Ovis aries: one gene and its partners. The protein of the gene in region 4 interacts with the protein of the main gene of each other region in a biochemical or structural test. Links are inferred from orthologs where the notes say so. Each region holds a gene or a part of one and is shown on either strand. Other genes may lie near its edges. The genes, in order: UBE2A, UBE2B, histone H2B type 1-B, RNF20 and WAC.

Region 1 (4,089 bases), on a different chromosome or scaffold from region 4:
ATGCCACTTGTTCCTAATCGGGCCTTTCCAGTAAATTTCCTAGCTATAAATAACAAGTATTTTTAAATGGTCAAAAAAATTCTTGTAACCTTGGTTAGTGTTTGAGACACCTGAGGAAGCATTCATGGATAGCAGACTGCTCAAAAGAATGAATCAGAAAAGGGTACTGTCATTCAGCCTGAGTAATTCCTTTCAGTAATGTCAGGGTGGAGAGACACATCATCAAAAATAGAACCAGTAATGTCAAGGGGGAAGGTCCAGGTAGATAATGGATTCCATAAGTACTTCTCCAATTCATACCACTTAAAGCGAGAGAAGCACCCTTGAAATATTTAAGTTGCCAACCCCTAGCAAAGCGATGTACTATTAATAAAGTTGCGCCCAGCATAAAGCAGTCCGAATAAAAATCAGGAGGAAAAAAGAAGCCAATGAAAATAATTTGCTTTGCTGGAGCTAAAGCAAATACACAGCTAATCTGCACATAAAGCTTAAGTATGAAGAACCAGCAACCGATCTAATGGAGGAAAACTAAGCCTAGCTAGCTTCTGCTATGGATCAGAATCAGTTCAAATGATTTACCTCACACACCAAAGTAGTATGCCTTCAGGATCATACTCCCTTGCTGTCATTTCTTTTTATCAAAGCACTGAAGAACAGTGATATTTACCCAGGAGGTGAAGGCAGAGAAGAAACAAACCACCTAGATTACTGTTTACAATCTGCTAGGGAAATCTGAGTGTTTGAGACGAATCCTAGAATTGGTTTGTATTCATTTACCTCACAACATGCTGTGGTTGGTAACATCCAAAGGCAATCTGACTTGGCAACTTTGCTTGTACTGAGTAGTTTGTAGAAATGCTTTTGTTGCCACCTTCAAATGGAGGTGTATGCATATGTGTGTGCATATGTGTGCAGATTTCTCTCAAAGGCTATATGACCAAAGGAATATAAGGCATTGAGAAGAAAATAAATAACAGAAAGACCCTTTTCTGTTTAAAAATACCTCAAATATTAAAGATGTCAATCAGTAGTTCAAATACTTTTAATCATCTTTTTAAATGCATTAAGCTTTCAAAAGCAATTAACTATACACACACATACACACACATTTGAGTGCACATAAAACTATATCTATGTCAATTTCCTGGTTGTGCACAGTCATTCCAGATGTTACCAGGGGAGAGGGGGGAACAGGTGAAGGGTACACAAGGTCTCTCTGTATTATTATTTATTACAATTCCACACAAATCTATAATTATATCAAAACAAGAAGCTTTAAAAAGTCCTTAAAAAGCAACTTAGTGTGTTTTTAAAAGTCAAACCTAAACCTAAAAATCATGTACCTGTAAGTACGTGTAGTATCTTGAAGTAGGTTGGACACTGGTAAGAGAGTACTTTAAGGCTCCCCTCAATTGTGAAACTGCCTTGAGATTACTGATCATAAAGTCTTGATAAAAGCACACGCTGAAAACTCATTTAAAAATAAGAAACAAGGAACTGGCTATTGAAGGTGCCATTAAAGACCACTTTAAAGCAGTGAGGCTGAAAAGCACTCAATGTCAGATTATAGAAACCAGACAGTTGTGTGCAAGGGATTCCTGCATCCATTCAACATCCAACACCACACATGAGGCACCTGCTGAACACAGTTCCCACCCTTGTGACAGAATTCTGAACCAGACAGTCCCTGGGGTCTCCGAGTTGATCAGCAAGTGGTTGGGTTGATCCTGATGGAGGGGGTGGTGGTCCTGAATTTAGCAAGATCACAACCCAAACCTCACAAACCCTTAACATCAGTGGTATTATGCTCCTTTTAAAAAGTGACTGCCTTACTCAGATTTTTTTAAGCAGCAGTTCTAGTCAAGCGGACAATAGCCAGAACAACCTGCCACAGACTGGACTCCTCTCAAGTCTTTAGCAGGCAAAGGCTAGGGAGAAGCGGGTTATTAAGTAGGAGGCACTTCCAGGCTGACTGGGAAACACTTTCCCCAGAAGATCAGGGTCCCAAAAGGTGGGTAAAGAAACTCTCTTACCATCCTCAAACGGGGTCCCTTCAGGCCTACAACACAGAGAGAAACAAGTCAGTTCCCACATCAGGGGCTCCTCTCTCCCCGGTTCATCTGTTCGCCCCACCTCTGGTAAACCACCGCTTCCCGGGTTGCAAAGCCACGACCAATAGAGCTTTGGGGCTCAGAAACCCCAGGCAGGCCGAAGCGCCACCGCTCCCCGCCCCGCCCCCCTCCGAACCCCAAACGGTTCCCCTGGCAGCGCGAACCGAGCTAATCGAGGCACAGGCTCCGGGGAGGCGCCTAGGCCCAACGAGCCCCAAACCTTCTCTCTCAGTCCCCGCCTCCGCACCGGGTGGGTCCCAGAGGGCACACGGGTCCCCCGGCCCTCACCACCATCCGGAACGCAGACTCACCCAAAAATGACCGCGTTCCAAACCATGATGTTGTTCTCGGACGGAGCCCCGCTGACTCCGGCAGGAGGATCCTCCTGTAACCTACAGGGAAACACCACAGGAACCTCCCGCTATCCTGAACCCGCCGCCCGCCCGGCCCGCTGCCGGCCCCGCCCTGTACCCCGGCGGCAGCCCCCGGCCCCTAGAGTCCCGGGCGGGTTACCTCTTGAAGTCCCTCATGAGACGCCGCCGAGCCGGGGTGGACATGTCTCTAGCGGGGTCAGGGGTGGGGCATACACCGAGCTCTCGGGTCCCCGCGGGTGGTGAGGAGGCTGAGGAAGCCGGAGGAACCAACGGAGAACCGCCTAGAGGAACCGCACTGCCTCTCCTAAGTCGAGGGTCGATCTGGCGCCGGCTTAGCACCACCCCAGAGTAGACCGGGGCTGAACCAACCTGGAAGGAAACGACGGGGGTGGAACGCCAAACGCCGGACAGACCGTACCAAGACGGGACAGGGGTGGGGGGGGGGAGGAAAGTTGCTTAGGTCATTAAACCCCTGAGGGACGGGGGGAGCGAGGGTGAGAAGCAAGCTGCGGGCCTCATGTAATTGCCGGGAACTCAATAGGATCGGGTGGTGGAATCGGTCCACCTTCACTTGCCAATTCTAAGACGAACCGTGGGAAGCTTTTTTTCTACTTTTCCTTTTTCTTCTTCTTCTTTTTTTTTTTTTTTTTTGAGATCAGATCACTTATTAAAGTGCGCACAGTGGCTGAGGGGGAGAAGGATGAAGTCTCAATCTCAATGAGGACAGAGTGGATGAAGGCGAAACCAGTTCTCCTAAAGCCAGAAATCTAGGGGGTACACCTCCTACGGACACGGGAAACTGGGGAGGAAGCTGTGTGACTGGTCAAAATCACTGAACATCCAAAGAGTAAATCGACCTCGATGGTGAGGTCGAGGGTCCCTTCTCTATGGGATGAATGTGCGGGCCCCAACATTTAGGCCGATGATCACCCCCAAAGCAGAATGAAATGGTGATGTGTGTCCTGGGGGAGGGAATGAGAGCTGGAGGCAAGCAGAATGAGGCTTTAGCTTTGGGCACTCACAATTTGGCTCTGGAACCACATTTCCCCTTGACAGTTCAACAAGCCAAGTGGCTACTATATGTTCAGAAGAGTCCAAGGGTATGAGAATATCCGATTGCAGAGAATTGGAAGAGCAGTGAGTCTGAAGTAAAAGGAACGGTAAGATGCACGTGAAAAAGCTGTAGGTTGCAGGGAAGAGTCACAGTTAGTATGTGGACCTGCAAAAGCAATAACAGTTTTAAAGAATGTTTTTTAAAAAGGTCAACTCCAAATAACATAGAAGGTAGGCAAAATACTCATTTAAGAATTTTTTGGAAATATGAGAAAAGTAGGTCTAGGTTCACTCAGGGAGAGTTTTGAATGCCAAGCTGATGGCTTCCTTGGAAGTTGGTTGAGCAGAAAGGCAACATGATCAGAGCTGTACTCACTGGAGACGGGTCCCAGGACAGCAATTAGAAGACTCTTGAAGTATTCCAGGTGAGAGGTAGTGAACCAGGCAATGACAATAAAAACAGACAGGACTTGCCAACAGAACGTGGGGACAAGAGAGAGGAAGGAGTCTACGGAGGCTCAAGTTCTGGGGACTTCCCTGGTGGTTCATGG
Region 2 (4,312 bases), on a different chromosome or scaffold from region 4:
GAATTACATTTGTCGGTGGGTATCTATCAAGTATTAGATCTGGCTAACTTGATTACCAAGGCATTTAATAAAAGCAAGAGAAAGAATTCAGGGATTGAAGAAAGAGAGGTACCAGAAAAGTAGGGGAAACTAACCCTTTCTAGTTCAATGAAAGTATGCCCAACGCCATATTCCTCATTCTGTCTTACTGTAACACCTTGGGTTGAGGAATCACCCAAATGGACTTAAAGAGCTCAGGGTTCAGCCAAAAAAAAAGTCTTTAAGAACAGAATTGGAGGCGATAGAGGAAGGAAACTCAATGACTAGAAATAATGTCAGAATTCCAACGGCCAGTATCTCTGAGCCCCGGTGGGGGACGTTTCAGGCTATTAACTTACTAGTGTTGAAAATCTGAAATAAATTACTCAGGCTAGATATACAACCCCTATCCACGTCTGCATGATCTCTCCCCCACATGTGAGTCAAACTTTTAGGTTTGGCAACTAGTCACCTACACTCTCTTTATACACACTCTCTATGATCAAACCTGCACATTTCTTGACAAATACAATGGTACCCCACTGTAGACCAATCCAAGGACTCTGACACAAAGCCTCAAATAAGAGCAGACTCATAAAGGATAAACAAAATTCCGTAATCCTGTGGGGATTGTAAACAAACATTAAACAATCTGTACACCGTTCTTTAATCTCTGCCCAGCATCGCCAACCCTGGAAACACACTGCAATGCTCATACAGTAATATTTGGTGGCCCTAAGGAAGCATTTCAGGGGATTTCGCTTTGTATGGGCCTCTGCATTCAGCTGAGGAAAACGGAGGTCCCTTCACTTTTCCTCAGATGCCAGATTTGATAAGCCATTGAGCCAACCAGAGGGGAGTTTTAAATCCAAATTATTTGGGGCTCTATTTTAAAGATTTAAGAAGCAAAACAAACTACTGCTTCCGACACAATCTCATCAATAGCTGTCCACAGGACAAAATGGAGAAAAAACATAAAAGTGCCTACCAGCCCTCAGCCCATAAATTTAACTACCGGGCTGAAAGACGGCTGAAAGTTAGATCCAGGAGACGCTCTCACGTGATCCGTCCTAATGGCGTCATAGGGACACGTGGTTCTAGATACTTCGTCCCCTCCCCCTCGGAGGTGGATTGTTGACAACGCCGCCGGCAGTCACGTGATCTTACGTCATCCTACCTCCTTTCCCTGAAATCTCTGGCCCCGGATGCGTCCCTCTCTCCCCACCCGGCTGAGCCTAAACTAGTGAAAGAGGGGGAGACGGGTTGGTGTTGTTTCAGTTCCGGTACTTCTTTATCACAACCTCCAGTCTGAGCATAAGGAACAGTAATTGGTCAATTCGTTCAAGGAGACAAAAGGGATAAGGTCCCTGGTGAAGGGGCCCCGTAACTAGCTCTCCTACGTCCCGTTCCCTTCTCCCCCACCCCTCACTGCATGGTACCGGCGGAGGGCGGAGGGATCTGGAGGCGGCGGAGGGAGACGTCATTGCAGGGTTGTTTGTGCAACCTCGGCAGCGGCGGCGGTGACCCACAGTGATTCGGCCGCCGCGCCGGGGGGTGGGGGGGCTGCGCGGGACTCTTTTCTTTCAGACTGACCGCGGGGCTGCTGGGGAGCATGTCGACCCCGGCCCGGAGGAGGCTTATGCGGGATTTCAAGAGGTAAGGGCCTTCATTTTCGCCTGAATGACGACTCCTCCCCGAAGCTCCGGGGCTAGGGTGGGGATCCGGGACACCTTCCCCTCTTGACCCTAAGAGGGCTGCTGTGGGCCCAGGGGGACAGATGGAAGCCCAGTTCCAGCCCCGCTTTAGCACTCTCTTCTCCTTGGTTGTTCACTTGTCCTACGTAAGAAATTTTGATACTTCCTCACCACCACCCTACCCCCACAAAAAAGTAAAAAGATGGCTATGGTTTGTCCTACGATTCCCTGCTGCCCACTGCGGCCAGTTGCCTGATACCTCGCCCTGGCTTTCAAATCTCATCCTTCGCCTCTGCACCCTGCGGTGCCTCTTCTCTCTGCCCTAAGAGCGAGCCCTTGCAGAAGCCTTTCCACCGCTAGCTACACCAGTCAGCTTTGTTCGATGGCCTTGCCGCCTTTCCGACTGCCAGGGTTGGGGCCAACCCCCGCCTCCCTCCCCATTCTTTCTGCAGTGAGGGTGGGGTCTGATGCGCGAGGGCCGGAGGTTGTTAACCCATCCTCCGAAACCCGACTCTTCCCCCCCCAATCCCTCCCCGCCCGCCTGAAAGGACCTTGAGAACTGGCTTAGAGGGCTGCGATTCGGGCTGGCAAACCCGGCTGCCAGTGCTTTCTGGAACTCAGCTCTGTGGCCTGGTGTGTAAAGACCTATCTATAGCCTCCAAGGTCTGGAAAAATGCCTTTCTGGAGGCTGGGGCTAAGCTGATACTCCCTGAGCCTCTTTTGTAAAATAGGGTTTTGTTAGATATTAGGGTTGATGAGGAGGAAGTGACTTTTTTCCCCCCAGTTGTTTTACTTTGAATGCTTACAGGTACGGAGAAGAAAATAACCAAGAAAACTTAGCGTTACGCTCCCGTGCGCATTTATAAGTGTTTTTCTAGGGAGATCTGCCCTGCTCGAGAGAAAAAATCCAGTGTAAAAACTTGGATTGGCTTATCAGGAAGTAACCTCTCAACTTCATTGTAAACCTTTAAATGAGGCACTTGGAAGCCATTGTTTGGGGCTTTGCCCAGTTTGGCCTTGAGTGTATTGGTAACTTAGCCTTTATCTTTGGTGGGCGATATCACGCCCCGTATCTTCCAAGGGTTCTTCTTTTCGTCGTGGCCTGTACTGCTTAAGGTTGACTAAAAGCCATTTTGGGGGACTAATTCCAAGAATCATATCACATGACGGTGTGTTTATGTGTGTGTGTGTGTGTGTGTGTGTGTGTATATTTAGTGTCGCGTTTACTTTTTTTCCTGAGATGACAGTTTTAAAAGGAGATACTCCTTTTTGTGCAAAACTCTGTTTCTACAGCTTGAAACCATAGATTTCAGATTAGCTCCCATGAGTGAAATTCCAATAATAAAATTTCGAGGTTCCTGGCCTTTGGTACCCTGGTTTCTCATTGCAGTTCTCTGCTTAATTCTGAGTTGTGTGCTTGGCACCTTCGGTAGTTTTCCAAGGGTCGTCTTTTGCAAGAGTTTGTAACAGGTGTTGGAAGGTAGCTCTGTATATGGGCGCATGATCTGAGAGGTAAAATGCAGTATTGGTGCAGAGCTTTTAAAATAGGGACTGAGGGAAAACCTAGCCAGAGCTTTGCTTACTCTAAAAGCTGCTGCTAACGCAAATGGAATAAAGTAGTTCTACTGCCCAAAACTAGTTTCCTGATTAAACTGGATGCAAGTGTTTTTCAGTCATTTAATGTTTACACTGAGGTGGGGTCTTTATATTTTGTTTGGGGGAGAGTTTTTTTGGTGGCCATGTTGCCCAAGTAGCTTTGGTTAGGACTCACACAGCCTTTGCATGTTTACAGTAGCAAAATTGATAGTTGAGTAAATAGTGTTTTTTTACACTTGAGGTTTTTCCTTTGTTGTTATTGTTAAAAGTAGTTCTTGAACAGATATCTTAACCTTGGTGATATTTGAAGAGGGATGACTCCCAAGCCATTTAAAGTGGTATGGTTTATTCCAGCTCAGCACAACAAGAAAATGGATTTAGTTTGTTTCTCAAAGTAGATGGTTGAAAGATGTTTGACTGGCCTTCTTAGTGGCCTTAATGTTCAACTTTTAAAATTTCTATTCTGGATTTCTAGATTGCAAGAGGACCCACCTGTGGGTGTCAGTGGCGCACCATCAGAAAACAACATCATGCAGTGGAATGCAGTTATATTTGGGTGAGTTGAAAGAAATAACAAATGGTAGGTATGGTGATTCTTTTAAGAAAATTGAATGTATAACAGCTAGGAAGGGAAACTTTCCTAGGGATGAGGGATCTTACAGAAACTGTAAGATTTAAAAAAAATTCTGATAGAGTTTTGGCAGTCACATAAAATTTGATTTTATAATCAGTGGGTTTTATTTGATAAAAATATCATTTGAGACTACAGGAGAATGATAAGTTTGTACAAAATGTGCCAAGCAAATGCTTAGTATGTATTCTACTAGAACTGTAAAAAGAGTAGGAACCAAAAATATTGATAACTTCCACCATAGTAAGAATTTAAATAAAAAATGTTTGACAGCTTAATGTGAAATAACTGTATGGAGCCTTTCAAGGTGCAGTCTTATATTTTACATATAGTATGTATTGCATGTAGGCGTATTTGTATAAGAGCATTATTT
Region 3 (3,780 bases), on a different chromosome or scaffold from region 4:
ACAGTTCTTCTGTGTATTCTTGCCACCTCTTCTTAATATCTTCTGCTTCTGTTAGGTCCATACCATTTCTGTCCTTTATTGAGCCCATCTTTGCATGAAATGTTTCCTTAATATCTCTAATGATCTTGAAGAGCTCTCTAGTCTTTCCCATTTTATTATATTCCTCTATTTCTTTGCACTGATCCCTGAAGAAGTCTTTCTTATCTCTCCTTGCTATTCTTTGGAACTCTGTATTCAAATGGGTATATCTTTCCTTTTCTCCTTTGCTTTTCACTTCTCTTCTTTTCACAGCTATTTATAAGCCCTCCTCAGACAGCCATTTTGCTTTTTTGCATTTCTTTTTCTTTGGGATGGTCTTGCTCCTACAGTGTCATGAACCTGCATCCATAGTTCATCAGGCACTCTATCAGATCTAGTCCCTTAAATCTATTTCTCACTTCCACTGAAATAATCATTAAAGATTTGATTTAGGTCATACCTGAATGGTCTAGTGGTTTTCCCTACTTTCTTAAATTTAAGTCTGAATTTGGCAATAAGGAGTTCATAATCTGAGCCACAGTCAGCTCCTGGTCTTTTTGCTGACTGTATATAGTTCTGTAAAATATCAACTATTAGGAAGAAAGGAAGGGGCAAGGAGAAGGAAGATAGAAGCAAGCAAGCAGGCAAATAATAAGTTCTACCCCAGGAGATAATTTTGAAGAGACTGAGATTATATTACCACTAAGATCTCATCCCTCCAGAGAGCAATTCTGAAACTGCAGCTTGAGTTCAATTTTTCTTTCTTTTCCCCCCAGAGATGAGTGGAGGGGGTTACAATCTAAAAACCAAGATTTTTAACTTCTAAGACAAGCTTCTGTTTCACAGGTATGTTTTATGTATGCTGAGACAGGGAAGTCTTCTCATATAGCAGTCACCTAATTTGTGTGGGATCTGGGAAAAGTTCATTTAACTCCAAAATTTAAAAGTGGTCTTTTTGAGAAATTCTACTTCGAGTTTTTATTTCCTTATCCAAACACACTGATGTATGTCACCTAAATATGGTGCTTATAAACCAAAGAAAAGACTTTCCCCTACCTTTTTAATATGCAGTCAACCGCTGACTTTTCGTGGCTCTTCCCCTCATCCAGCCCCACTGACTCCTTTTCCACAACCAAGGCCCTTCCTATCAGGATTATTTTGGGAGTAGTATGTTCTCTTAAAAAATTTTCCCAAGAAAAATTAGCACACCTTCCTCTCCACCTGGGGCCCTCCTAGTCTGCAAATGAGGTGACACCAGATGGGGAGGTCAGAAAATTCAAACCATTTCCCCTCCTAGAATTGGGAGTGCCACACTTTCAACCTCTTCTAGTGCCATCCCAGGAAGGTAAATGACCCAGGAAACTGGAACCCAGATATCAGGAATGCAAGAAAAATGGAAACGGCTTTACATTGGCTGTTTCCATCACTATACAATTATAATGAGAAATTAGAAAATCTCATTTCAACCATGTGCAGAGTTTAATACCTTATAAAAGTGTCCGCGGTTTGCTAAAGGAACAACAGGTGATTTTGCTTAGTTTCCCCAATAACAGGGAGAAAACCCCACTGATTTGCCTTCCCTGCAACCTGCCCTGAAAAGACAACCTGCATAAAGATGCCTTGAGGATCGGGACCCTGAAATCCCCCCAACCACTTCCTTACCCGGAAGGAAAATTCTAATCACCATCAAAAATTTTAAGAGGCCTCGTGAAGAGTGAGCATTTCCAAGCATCTGGATGCTTAGTCCATGGGAAACGGGAAGATGTGTCTTTCGGGGAACGTCTCTTAAATGCCAAGAGACTTTTCAAGTAGCTAGAGGTTCTGGCTCCAAAATTGCTTCAACTATTAACCCCACTAGAGTAGATGTAGATGCTTAAATCAATAGGACAGAATTGCATTTACCGCGCGAGAAAACGGCAGTTACAGTCTTTCTTCGACAAAGTGGGTGGCTCTGAAAAGAGCCTTTGGATTAACTGCCTATGCAGGCACTCATTTGGAGCTGGTGTATTTAGTGACGGCCTTGGTACCCTCAGACACAGCATGCTTGGCCAGCTCCCCGGGCAGCAGCAGGCGCACGGCCGTCTGGATCTCCCTGGATGTGATGGTCGAGCGCTTGTTGTAATGCGCCAGGCGTGACGCCTCGCCCGCGATGCGCTCGAAAATGTCGTTCACAAAGGAGTTCATGATACCCATGGCCTTAGATGAGATACCAGTATCTGGATGGACCTGCTTCAGAACCTTGTACACATAAATAGAGTAGCTCTCTTTACGACTGCGCTTGCGTTTTTTGCCATCTTTTTTCTGTGCTTTAGTGATGGCTTTCTTAGAGCCTTTTTTAGGAGCGGGAGCAGATTTAGACGGCTCAGGCATTGTTTTGCCCTAGAAACGTTAGATGATAGCCTCCGCGACTAAGATTACCAGTATGAGTTCAAAAACCAGATATTTATAGCGCTTCAATGTAAATGAGGAATGAAAAATTCTCACTTTTGATTGGGTAAGATCAGTACAGGTTCACTAAGGTCTGGAGGGAGGGGTTTATGCAAATAAGGGATACACATATTCTCTTTCTATTGGATAGAAAAACCTTCGTCCTTCTGACCAATAGGAGACCTAAGTGGCGCATCCCTCTACTGTCTATTAAAAAAATATTTTTATCCCCCCTTGGTCGTCCAGGGTTTTTTTTTTCCTGCTCACAAGTTTTGCTGTTGAGTTTTACAAAGTAACTATGTCTGGACGTGGTAAACAAGGAGGCAAAACTCGAGCTAAAGCCAAAACTCGGTCTTCCCGGGCTGGTTTACAATTTCTAGTGGGGCGAGTGCACCGCCTGCTCCGCAAGGGCAGCTATACCGAGCGGGTTGGAGCCGGCGCTCCGGTGTACTTGGCGGCGGTGCTGGAGTACCTGACGCCTGATATTCTGGAGCTGGCGGCAACGCGGCCCGGGACAAAAAGAAGACCCGCATCATCCCGCGTCACCTGCAGTTGGCTAACCGCAACGACGAGGAGCTGAACAAGCTGCTGGGCAAAGTCACCATCGCTCAGGGCGGCGTCCTGCCCAACATCCAGGCGGTGCCGCTGCCCAAGAAGACGGAGAGTCACCACAAGGCGAAGGGGAAGTAAAGCCTAGACAAAAGAAGAAACTTTTTAATAAACTATTCAAAGACTTTTCACAGCCATCCACATTTTTATTAAAAAAAAAAAAAAAAAGCTGGTAGCCAGGTTATGCTGCGTAGGTGGTTAATTGTAAAAAGACAAATGACATTAAAACAAAGACTCTGGAAATGTTCTCACAAGCATTATTTTACTGCATAGCTGGCGAAACCTTTGTAATCCACAAGGGCCTTTATAAAGAGAAGGGGAGACTAGAGCGGTACTTAGTCTTGAGGATAACAAAAAGCAATTACTCTTGCCAAGATTATTTTTCTCTTGCCTTTGCTTTCAAAATTTTAAAACAATCCCCCCGCCCCCCCATGGAAGTTTATCAGGATCCAGTGTATATATGTCATCAATTCCACCTTTGCATGCATGTGATTTTTTAAAATCATCCACCCAGGGACCCTGGCATGTAGTTTTACAGAAGATAAACTCAGAATTAGGGGAGATCTGATGACCAAAGTTAGAAAGTGGTAGTCCTGGTAGTTCGAGATTTACTTAAAGCTGACCCAACTGTGGGGGAGAAAGATCAATTGTATTCAATTTAGGATTGGAGCAGAAATACTGACAATCTTGAGAACGTGTCAAGAATTAAGAATATCAGGTCCCACC
Region 4 (4,032 bases):
CTCTGGTGGACAGCTCCAGTCACACCACCAGTGTTCCCACTTGAAGCATACCATGCAGTCTCAAAGTTTTTTGTTCCACAATCTCAGCTGGTTTACCACAGAAACCTTGAAGTGCAGAAGAGAAGTTATTGCCTTCAAGGGCAACTGTCAACCAGCTGGGGCAGGATCAGTGGATACCTGCCCCAGCTCCCCACCCTTAGAGAGGAAGAATAGGAGGGAGGAGAAAGACAAGGAATGAGGGAACAATTTTGTTAACTGAACTCCTTCTTATAAACTTAGCTCCCTTACAATCTTTTTTCAAAACCTAAGTCAGAGCATGTTACTTCCCTGCTTAAAACCTTCCAGTGGCTCCTTACTGCCTTCTGGATAAAGTCCAAACTGGGATGCGTGTTTTGTGCATCCCTTCACATATGTAGTTATCTCTGGGAAGAGCCCATTTTTCACTCTATCATAACAGTCTGTTCTTTTCTCAGTGCCAACCTACAAACTGAAGTCCAGGAGCTGTCCTTAGTATAAAGCACAGTGTCTGGCAAATAACAGATGCTCAACAAATATTTATGTTTATTGAATGAAAAAATGTCCCTCGGATGCATGATGTGAGACAGTGCCAGGACAAAATCACCTGCTGGCAACAGGAGGCTGATGAATCCCAGACAGCAAACCCAGAAACAATGCTTCATCAATAATTTACTCTTGAATGTTCCTATTACTCTCTGATCCTCAATTTCAAAAAGTAGATATGGTTTTGTAGGCTATACAAATGTAAAGCATTTTTACACCATATCCCTATGGTTAAGTTCCAAAATACAGACTCCTTACCTATTACAGTGAGTTTATTATGGTGTCTAATGGACATATAACATTGCTATAAGTTTTTGGTGTATAATTGTCTAAAAAAATTGACAACTCCATAACAATAAGGAAGATATCTATTTTACTCACCATTATAGACACAATATCTGGCCCAATAAAAACTATTAATAGAGCACATATACTGAGTACTTACCATGTTAAAAAGTAACGTTCCTTAACAGGAACCCTTTCATTTCCTCCTCTCAAAACCCCAATGAGGTAGATACTATGATTACATTTTACAGACAAGGAAATAAGAAGGCACTCTCTCAATGATTGATTTTGCTACACTGCCTCTTAGTACCTGGCCCCTTAGTTCCCAATGAATGAAAAATCAGTGTATAGCTTCCCACTGCTAAATAACTACAATCAATGCTGAATCTGGCACCAGACTCTTCAAAGAATATGAATATACTTTTAAAAACAAAGATCAAGTGTCATTATATTTCTTTTTCAGAAATGAGCAACACATCATTTCATCTACTTTTGGCTGTTTTATCTCCCTCTTCTTTTCAAATCAACTTCCCTTACTCCAAAAGGCTTCCATAATTATTACTTCTAGGTTGCAACTGACAGAAGAAAAGCACACTCTCATAGCATTATTTCCACATACCGTTGAAGAGACACCCCCAAGTTTAATTGTTTCCACTGTGGTCCCTGAATCTTCAACAGCTGTCTTCTTCTCTGGAGGCACAGATGTGCCAGGCTCTCCAGCTGCTCTTTTATTTCCAATTCCTGACATCGTGGCACAAGATGATAACTGTTTTCCTGGAGAGAAAAAAAATCTTAGGTAAGATAGGCAAGGAGAGCAACTAGAGTCGATCTATGATGTAAAAACTAGCAACTTTTCCTGTCAATCCTTTAACCCGGGTCCATTAATTTCACACTTAGCAACCTGATCCTCAGGTTCCTCTTGGAAAGAGAAAAGTAAATTGTGAAGTAAGAGTCGCAGCTGAATTTACAGAACTACAAAGTTCTAAATAGGATGCTACTAAAATACAAGATAACAGGCAAAGGATGAAGAAACTTAGAAAATTTTCAGGCATCTCATTTCCTGAAATGCCAACATCTGAAAGTATAGTTTAATTTAGAAATACAGAAAATCAGTTAATTATACAGTGTTGGGAGAATCAGAGAGCTGGAAGAGACCTGGGAGATGTCTACTTTATTAACACTGAACAAGCCATATATCATCTCTGAGCCTCAATTTCCTAAAGCAGAAATAACAACAGTATATGCTTCCTATGCTCCTCATAAGGAATGAATAAGTACAGAAAGACTTTAGCATAAGGCCGAACACGAAGCATGCACTCAGCAATGCTAACTCTCCTTTTTATATTTGCAGTTTCCCTATTTCTAAACGCTCTCCCCACGAATTTGTGTCACCCTAGAGAAGCTAGATCTGCGTGTGAATCCCAGTACTAACTCTTAGAGAGCCGTGCTGCCTTGGAAAGGAATTTTTGATATGCACAATGCAAGTGACCACATACTGTCTCTGCCCTACTCGCCTCCCAAGGTTTCGGAGCTCAAAAGAAGCGGAATAGATGCTAAAGCACTTTGCTACTGAAGGTATCAGCCCTGCCATCACCGAGACGACACACAACTCCGCTTCCAACTGAAGCTCCAGGAGAAGGATATCGGTGGCAGCAACCTGAGTGGGACCTCGCCTGGAGAGAGAGGAGGAGGACAATGGCCTCAATCCGACTCCAGAGGGGCCAAGGACCCCAGCCTTCGGAGAGGCCAATTACAGGCCCGGGAGAGGGAGGCCTTGGAGCGGAAGAGGGTGGGGATACCCGTTGCCCGCTGAGTCCCGTCCCGCCCTTGGCCGAGATCTAACCTGAGTTCTTCCAACTTGCGCCGCCGGGGAGTGGAACGCGGGGCAGTTATTCACCAAGGTCCGCGTAGCCCTCCCACCTCTCACCCCTAACCCACAAGTGAAGATCCAGCGAAGCTTCCGGGAGGCGGGGCCAAGGGGAGGAAGAAGGGAAAGAAAGGAGGAAGTAGCTTCAATCTGGCAGCGAGAAGGACAAGACTCAACCGGGCGGAAGTGACACGCATCGAGGGCGCCCCGCTTCCGGAAGTAAGTGCGGTCTAGCAGCTCTTGGGCACCCGGCGGCCGCTTTGTAGAGGCCTCGCTGACGTCAGAGGAAACGTCCCAGATTTTTTTCCCGTTTGTTAACCATTGCTACTGCGACCTGTTTTTCTTTCTTTCTTTTTTTTTTTTACTGTGAATAGTGAAAATTGCTCAGTCGTGTTCGACCCTTTGTGACCCCATGAACTATACAGTCCATGGAATTCTCCAGGCCAAAATACTGGAGTGGATAGCCGTTCCCTTCTCCAGGACATCGAACCAGAGTCTCCCGCACTGCAGGCGGATTCTTTACCAGCTGAGCCACCAGGGAAGCCCTTAAGCGTCCCCCCTCCTTTTTTTTTTAACTGAGTACCTTTTGTTTACAGTGCCTATTGTTCTGTTACCTATTATTGGTTCTGCTCAGACTGGCGATTGGCTAATGGCGCCGTCAATCTCCAGGGGAAAGGACTAAGTTTCAGACACCTCGGAAAAATTACTGTGAGCCCCTTTTTGCTGAAATGAAAAGTTCTGGAGAAAACCCAAGAGATTCGGTGAGTTTAGAAGGTTGTGGCTATTTCAGGGAAATGTATGACAGCTCTGTCTACACATTAAAATCACTTGGGGAGTTTTGGTCCCTCTTGTGTAGGGCCTGGGCATCCACATTTTATAAAAAAAAAAAAATTTTCCCAACCCTCCCCCACCCCCACTGGATTCTAATGTGCAAACGGGATGGACAGTTACTATCTTTGTGTATCTTTTCAACAAGAAATTGACCAGGGAATAGATAAACATAAATCAATAAGTTGATTCTGATCTTAACACTCGTCTATTTTAAGCTAATTAAGCATTGATTTTTTAGTTAATAACAAACTGCTATTTTCCACTCAATTAAACAATGTGTTTTAATGATAGGAAGGTAATCAAACTAATTTATTGATGAAAAGCTGTATGCCTCACAGAGGTATAAAAAACTACCCAGTAAAGTCAGAATGTAAACAGTGGGAAACAAGCGTTCATGTTTCCTGATACTAGAACACTTTGCCCAGCGGTAAAGAGGCAACTGGCTCCAAATGAACTCTTTGGGTGAAGCAGAAGCCTGAGAACCATGT
Region 5 (3,512 bases), on a different chromosome or scaffold from region 4:
AAATGTGAGTTTTCGCACAAGAGACCTATTCTTAGAGCTTATAACTTACCCTGTGGTATTCTAAGAGCACAGTGAAAGATGGGTGTACACAGCATAGTGGTTGTGTTGGGTTTACAGTTGATCGTAACATTGTCACTTCAAATCCTGTAAGCAGATGGCTTGTAGTTTTTTGCATTATAAACCTTTCAGATTGTCTTTAAAAGTAAGTGGGCATTTGATCTTATATATATCTTATTAAAATGTTCTTTATAAAAGAACATGCTTTTGTATATATTTTGGACTTACATTGAAAACTGCTTGTTTTCTGTCACATGTGTGTATGAAAATATGTGTCCACAGTGGTAACCATGGACCTCTTGGTCTGCCACTGTAGGGTGCCATCTCTTTGAAGCCCACTCCAGTTAAATTGCATATGGGCCATTTCTCATTCTCTGATAGACAAGTCTATACATTCTCTTCATTTGTGATTGAATTTTAAGCAGCTGTATTTGTATGATGTGGTGTAATATATTTATTGATACAGAAGTAATAGTAAATCAGAAAAGATGTTACAGTATACTGGAAAGAAAATGGAGCTTGAAATCAGGAGAACTAGTTTCTTAAGCTGGTTGGCTTAAGTAACTGTTTGGCCCTAACTACGTAACCTTTGGAAACTCACTTAATTCCTCTTCTTTAAATCTCCATATTTTATATTGTTCAAGATTACTAACTAGACTTGGAGGGATCTGAAGATTTGGGCCCTAAATGACAATAGTTTACATAATTAAGTGTGGCTGTATCGCTAATACTGATCTTATTGTGAACATTTAAGACAATTCTTACCTTTAAAAAAAATCACTGAACATAAATAATTGGAAGTTTTCATTGGCAGAACTTTTGCTCTTATCTAGTTTCCACTGCTGTTTGTTTATGTGGTAGAAGCCTGTCTCATCAGATTTTGACATTCCAGGTTAGTACTCCAGTAGTTAAGCAAGGACCAGTTTCACAGTCGTCCACACAGCAGCCTGTAACTGCTGACAAGCAGCAAGGTCATGAACCTGTCTCTCCTCGAAGCCTTCAGCGCTCAAAGTAAGTTGATTTTGTGTGTTGAGAAAACACTGTTTTTTCCTTCTATTACCATATTATTTGGATATTATATATGCATAGTAGACCTTGATCTTGGAAGAATCCATGGATAGCCTAACATAGTTTTGTGTATTATAAAATTTACAAAGGCAGATCTTATTAGATTGTCTTTAGTAGTGAATCCTGAGTTATTTTGAGGAAGAGGCTCTCTGTTTAGAATTTTGCTTGATGGAATACAATGGGAGTAACTATATGTGACACTTCACTTGTAGAGGCACATGATTTTATACTACTTCATTCATTGGAAGTGATAACTTCCCAATAGCAGTTTTGGATTTGAGTTTATTGATAAAGCCAAAAACCTCACATCTGAAACTTGGGTCAGTATTTTCCAACTGATGTGTGTAAGGCCTTCCTGATAGCCTCAACTCTGAACCTTTAGTCTTTAGTGGCTGCAGTATAATTTTAAATATACTCAGTGATGAAAACTCTTCATCTTTTGGGAGACTTCATTTTTGGAAATAAGTGAAATTCATTCAGAGCAAAGTCTGGTGTGAGGCAGCTGGAAAGTCAGCTTTGGGGTATTACATTCTTGATTCTCATCACCACATCCCCAAATCCTGGCCCAAACCATACAGGTGAAAAGAAGATATGCAACCTCAGAGTGTTCCCCATTTTTGGTCTTATTTGCCACTGAACTCATTCATTGTGAGGCAGTTACAGTGTCTGTTTTGCTTCGCATTATTTCACCCTCTGATTACACGCTTTACTCTGATTTTAAACAGTCAAAACCTCTGACCTTTTCACCCTCCATGTCTTCATGTATTTAAGATATATTGATGTGCCTCATATCTACAACTGTTCTAATGTGACCATTGCTTAGTCACATCCTTATTAGTGTTTGTAGTATACAAAGTCACAGGTTCCACTGTCAAGTTTGGGTGAGTACAGATATTTTAAATTCAGCCCTGACATTACTGTTTAAAGGGCTCTTTTAACCTCCAGACGTGTATTAGGAATATGATGTAAATATTCTTTGGATTTGAAATTATACTTACTTAATATTAAAATAATGTTATTCTTAGGAATTTGGGTATCTTTAAGTTAATGAAAGGTATTGACAGGCAGTGTTTAGGAAACCTGGAAGCCACTCTTAACCATGCTCCATGCTCGGTCGTCTTCTCTCGTAGCAGCCAGAGGAGTCCGTCACCTGGTCCGAATCACACGCCTAGTAGTAATGCACCGAGCACAGCAGTTGTGCCACAGAACTCCTCTGCCCGACCCCCGTGTTCACTAACACCGACGCTTGCAGCACACTTCAATGAAAATCTCATCAAGCACGTTCAAGGATGGCCTGCAGATCATGCGGAGAAGCAGGTACGTCACAGTCACAGCAGGTGTTCTGCCTGTGGTTTGCTAGCAGCTCAGTTCCACTTTGAGAAAATCTGACCCGGACCCTGTGGATTCGAGCAGTCTTTAAAACAACTAATTTCTCATTAGATTGTCTGTGGTCACTTTGTAAATATTTTATACGTACTTACAGGATATTTGTGAGGTAACTTTCTGTTTTTCACATATTTTAATTATCATTATAGCTCCCATTATCAAGTGCTCAGCGTTTAGCTCTGTGCTAAGTGCTTTATGTTTATTTTTTCCATTTTCTAAAACTACTGATCATGAGTTTTTCGTTTTACTAATGAGGCCCTTAAGACCAAATGATCTGTACCAAGGTCACTCAGTTACTAGATATGACTCAAAGCCAGCATGCTTTTCCTACTCAGCCAGCTACTCTGATCCTTTTAGTACAGTTGACCCTTGAACAACTTGGGTGAGGGGCTGACTCTCCACACAGTCAAAAATCCAAGTATGGTTTATAGTCAGCCCTCCATATCCACAGTCCCTCATCCCCAGATCAACCAACCATGGATTGTGTAGGACAGGGGTGTTGATTATTGGGAAAAATCCATGTGTAAGTGGGCCTGCCTGCACAGTGTAAACCTCTGTTGTTCAAGGTTCAACTAACTACTGAAACTTAGAAAACACTTGTACTTTGGGATGAAGGACCAACCCTAGCACATTCCAGTGATTGTCACTGGCTGCTCCATTTTATCAAATGACTAACCATCTGAAATGTTCTGTAAGCTCATGGTCATGCATTGTGTATCTCTTGATATGGGGATACAGTAAGGCCCTTTTATCAGTGTTATACCTGGACTTCACTTTGGCTGATCCAGCATTTTTTATTAACCACAAATCATGAGTCCTTCTATCTTACTGCTGTACTACCATGAGACTGAAAATAGTATCTTCTCAAGAAACGTGAGGGGTGAAATCTTAAAGGAATACACTTCACCATTAGAGATGGTTAAAAAAAAAAAAAAAATCATTCCCTCCCCCCCGATCCATGAGCATTAAGATTTATTTTATAATCTTGATATAAAGTTCTC

Evidence for each region.
Region 1: the proteins of RNF20 (region 4) and UBE2A form a complex in vitro, tested with the Homo sapiens proteins (4 studies listed by BioGRID, with this or other methods). The link is inferred for Ovis aries from reciprocal best matches to the Homo sapiens genes RNF20 and UBE2A.
Region 2: the proteins of RNF20 (region 4) and UBE2B form a complex in vitro, tested with the Homo sapiens proteins (4 studies listed by BioGRID, with this or other methods). The link is inferred for Ovis aries from reciprocal best matches to the Homo sapiens genes RNF20 and UBE2B.
Region 3: of the proteins of RNF20 (region 4) and histone H2B type 1-B, one has a biochemical effect on the other in vitro, tested with the Homo sapiens proteins (2 studies listed by BioGRID, with this or other methods). The link is inferred for Ovis aries from reciprocal best matches to the Homo sapiens genes RNF20 and H2BC3.
Region 5: the proteins of RNF20 (region 4) and WAC form a complex in vitro, tested with the Homo sapiens proteins (2 studies listed by BioGRID). The link is inferred for Ovis aries from reciprocal best matches to the Homo sapiens genes RNF20 and WAC.

Annotation. Positions count from the first base shown.
Region 1 is NC_056080.1:114,919,880-114,923,968, forward strand, and holds the start of UBE2A (ubiquitin-conjugating enzyme E2 A), read right to left. Parts: upstream 2,809-4,089; 5' UTR 2,669-2,808; coding exon 2,625-2,668; intron 2,504-2,624; coding exon 2,423-2,503; intron 2,060-2,422; coding exon 2,034-2,059; intron 1-2,033. UniProt on the Homo sapiens protein: E2 ubiquitin-conjugating enzyme that accepts ubiquitin from the ubiquitin-activating enzyme E1 and transfers it to a E3 ubiquitin-protein ligase. In vitro catalyzes 'Lys-11', as well as 'Lys-48'-linked polyubiquitination.
Region 2 is NC_056058.1:43,581,269-43,585,580, forward strand, and holds the start of UBE2B (ubiquitin-conjugating enzyme E2 B), read left to right. Parts: upstream 1-1,503; 5' UTR 1,504-1,630; coding exon 1,631-1,674; exon of another isoform or gene 1,675-3,783; coding exon 3,784-3,864; exon of another isoform or gene 3,865-4,312. UniProt on the Homo sapiens protein: E2 ubiquitin-conjugating enzyme that accepts ubiquitin from the ubiquitin-activating enzyme E1 and transfers it to a E3 ubiquitin-protein ligase. In vitro catalyzes 'Lys-11'-, as well as 'Lys-48'- and 'Lys-63'-linked polyubiquitination.
Region 3 is NC_056073.1:30,872,115-30,875,894, reverse strand, and holds the start of histone H2B type 1-B, read right to left. Parts: upstream 2,435-3,780; 5' UTR 2,389-2,434; coding exon 2,008-2,388; 3' UTR 1-2,007. UniProt on the Homo sapiens protein: Core component of nucleosome. Nucleosomes wrap and compact DNA into chromatin, limiting DNA accessibility to the cellular machineries which require DNA as a template.
Region 4 is NC_056055.1:21,572,857-21,576,888, forward strand, and holds the start of RNF20 (E3 ubiquitin-protein ligase BRE1A), read right to left. Parts: upstream 2,809-4,032; 5' UTR 2,690-2,808; intron 1,621-2,689; exon of another isoform or gene 1,613-1,620; 5' UTR 1,595-1,612; coding exon 1,466-1,594; intron 1-1,465. UniProt on the Homo sapiens protein: Component of the RNF20/40 E3 ubiquitin-protein ligase complex that mediates monoubiquitination of 'Lys-120' of histone H2B (H2BK120ub1).
Region 5 is NC_056066.1:35,470,340-35,473,851, reverse strand, and holds part of WAC (WW domain-containing adapter protein with coiled-coil), read left to right. Parts: intron 1-949; coding exon 950-1,068; intron 1,069-2,255; coding exon 2,256-2,442; intron 2,443-3,512.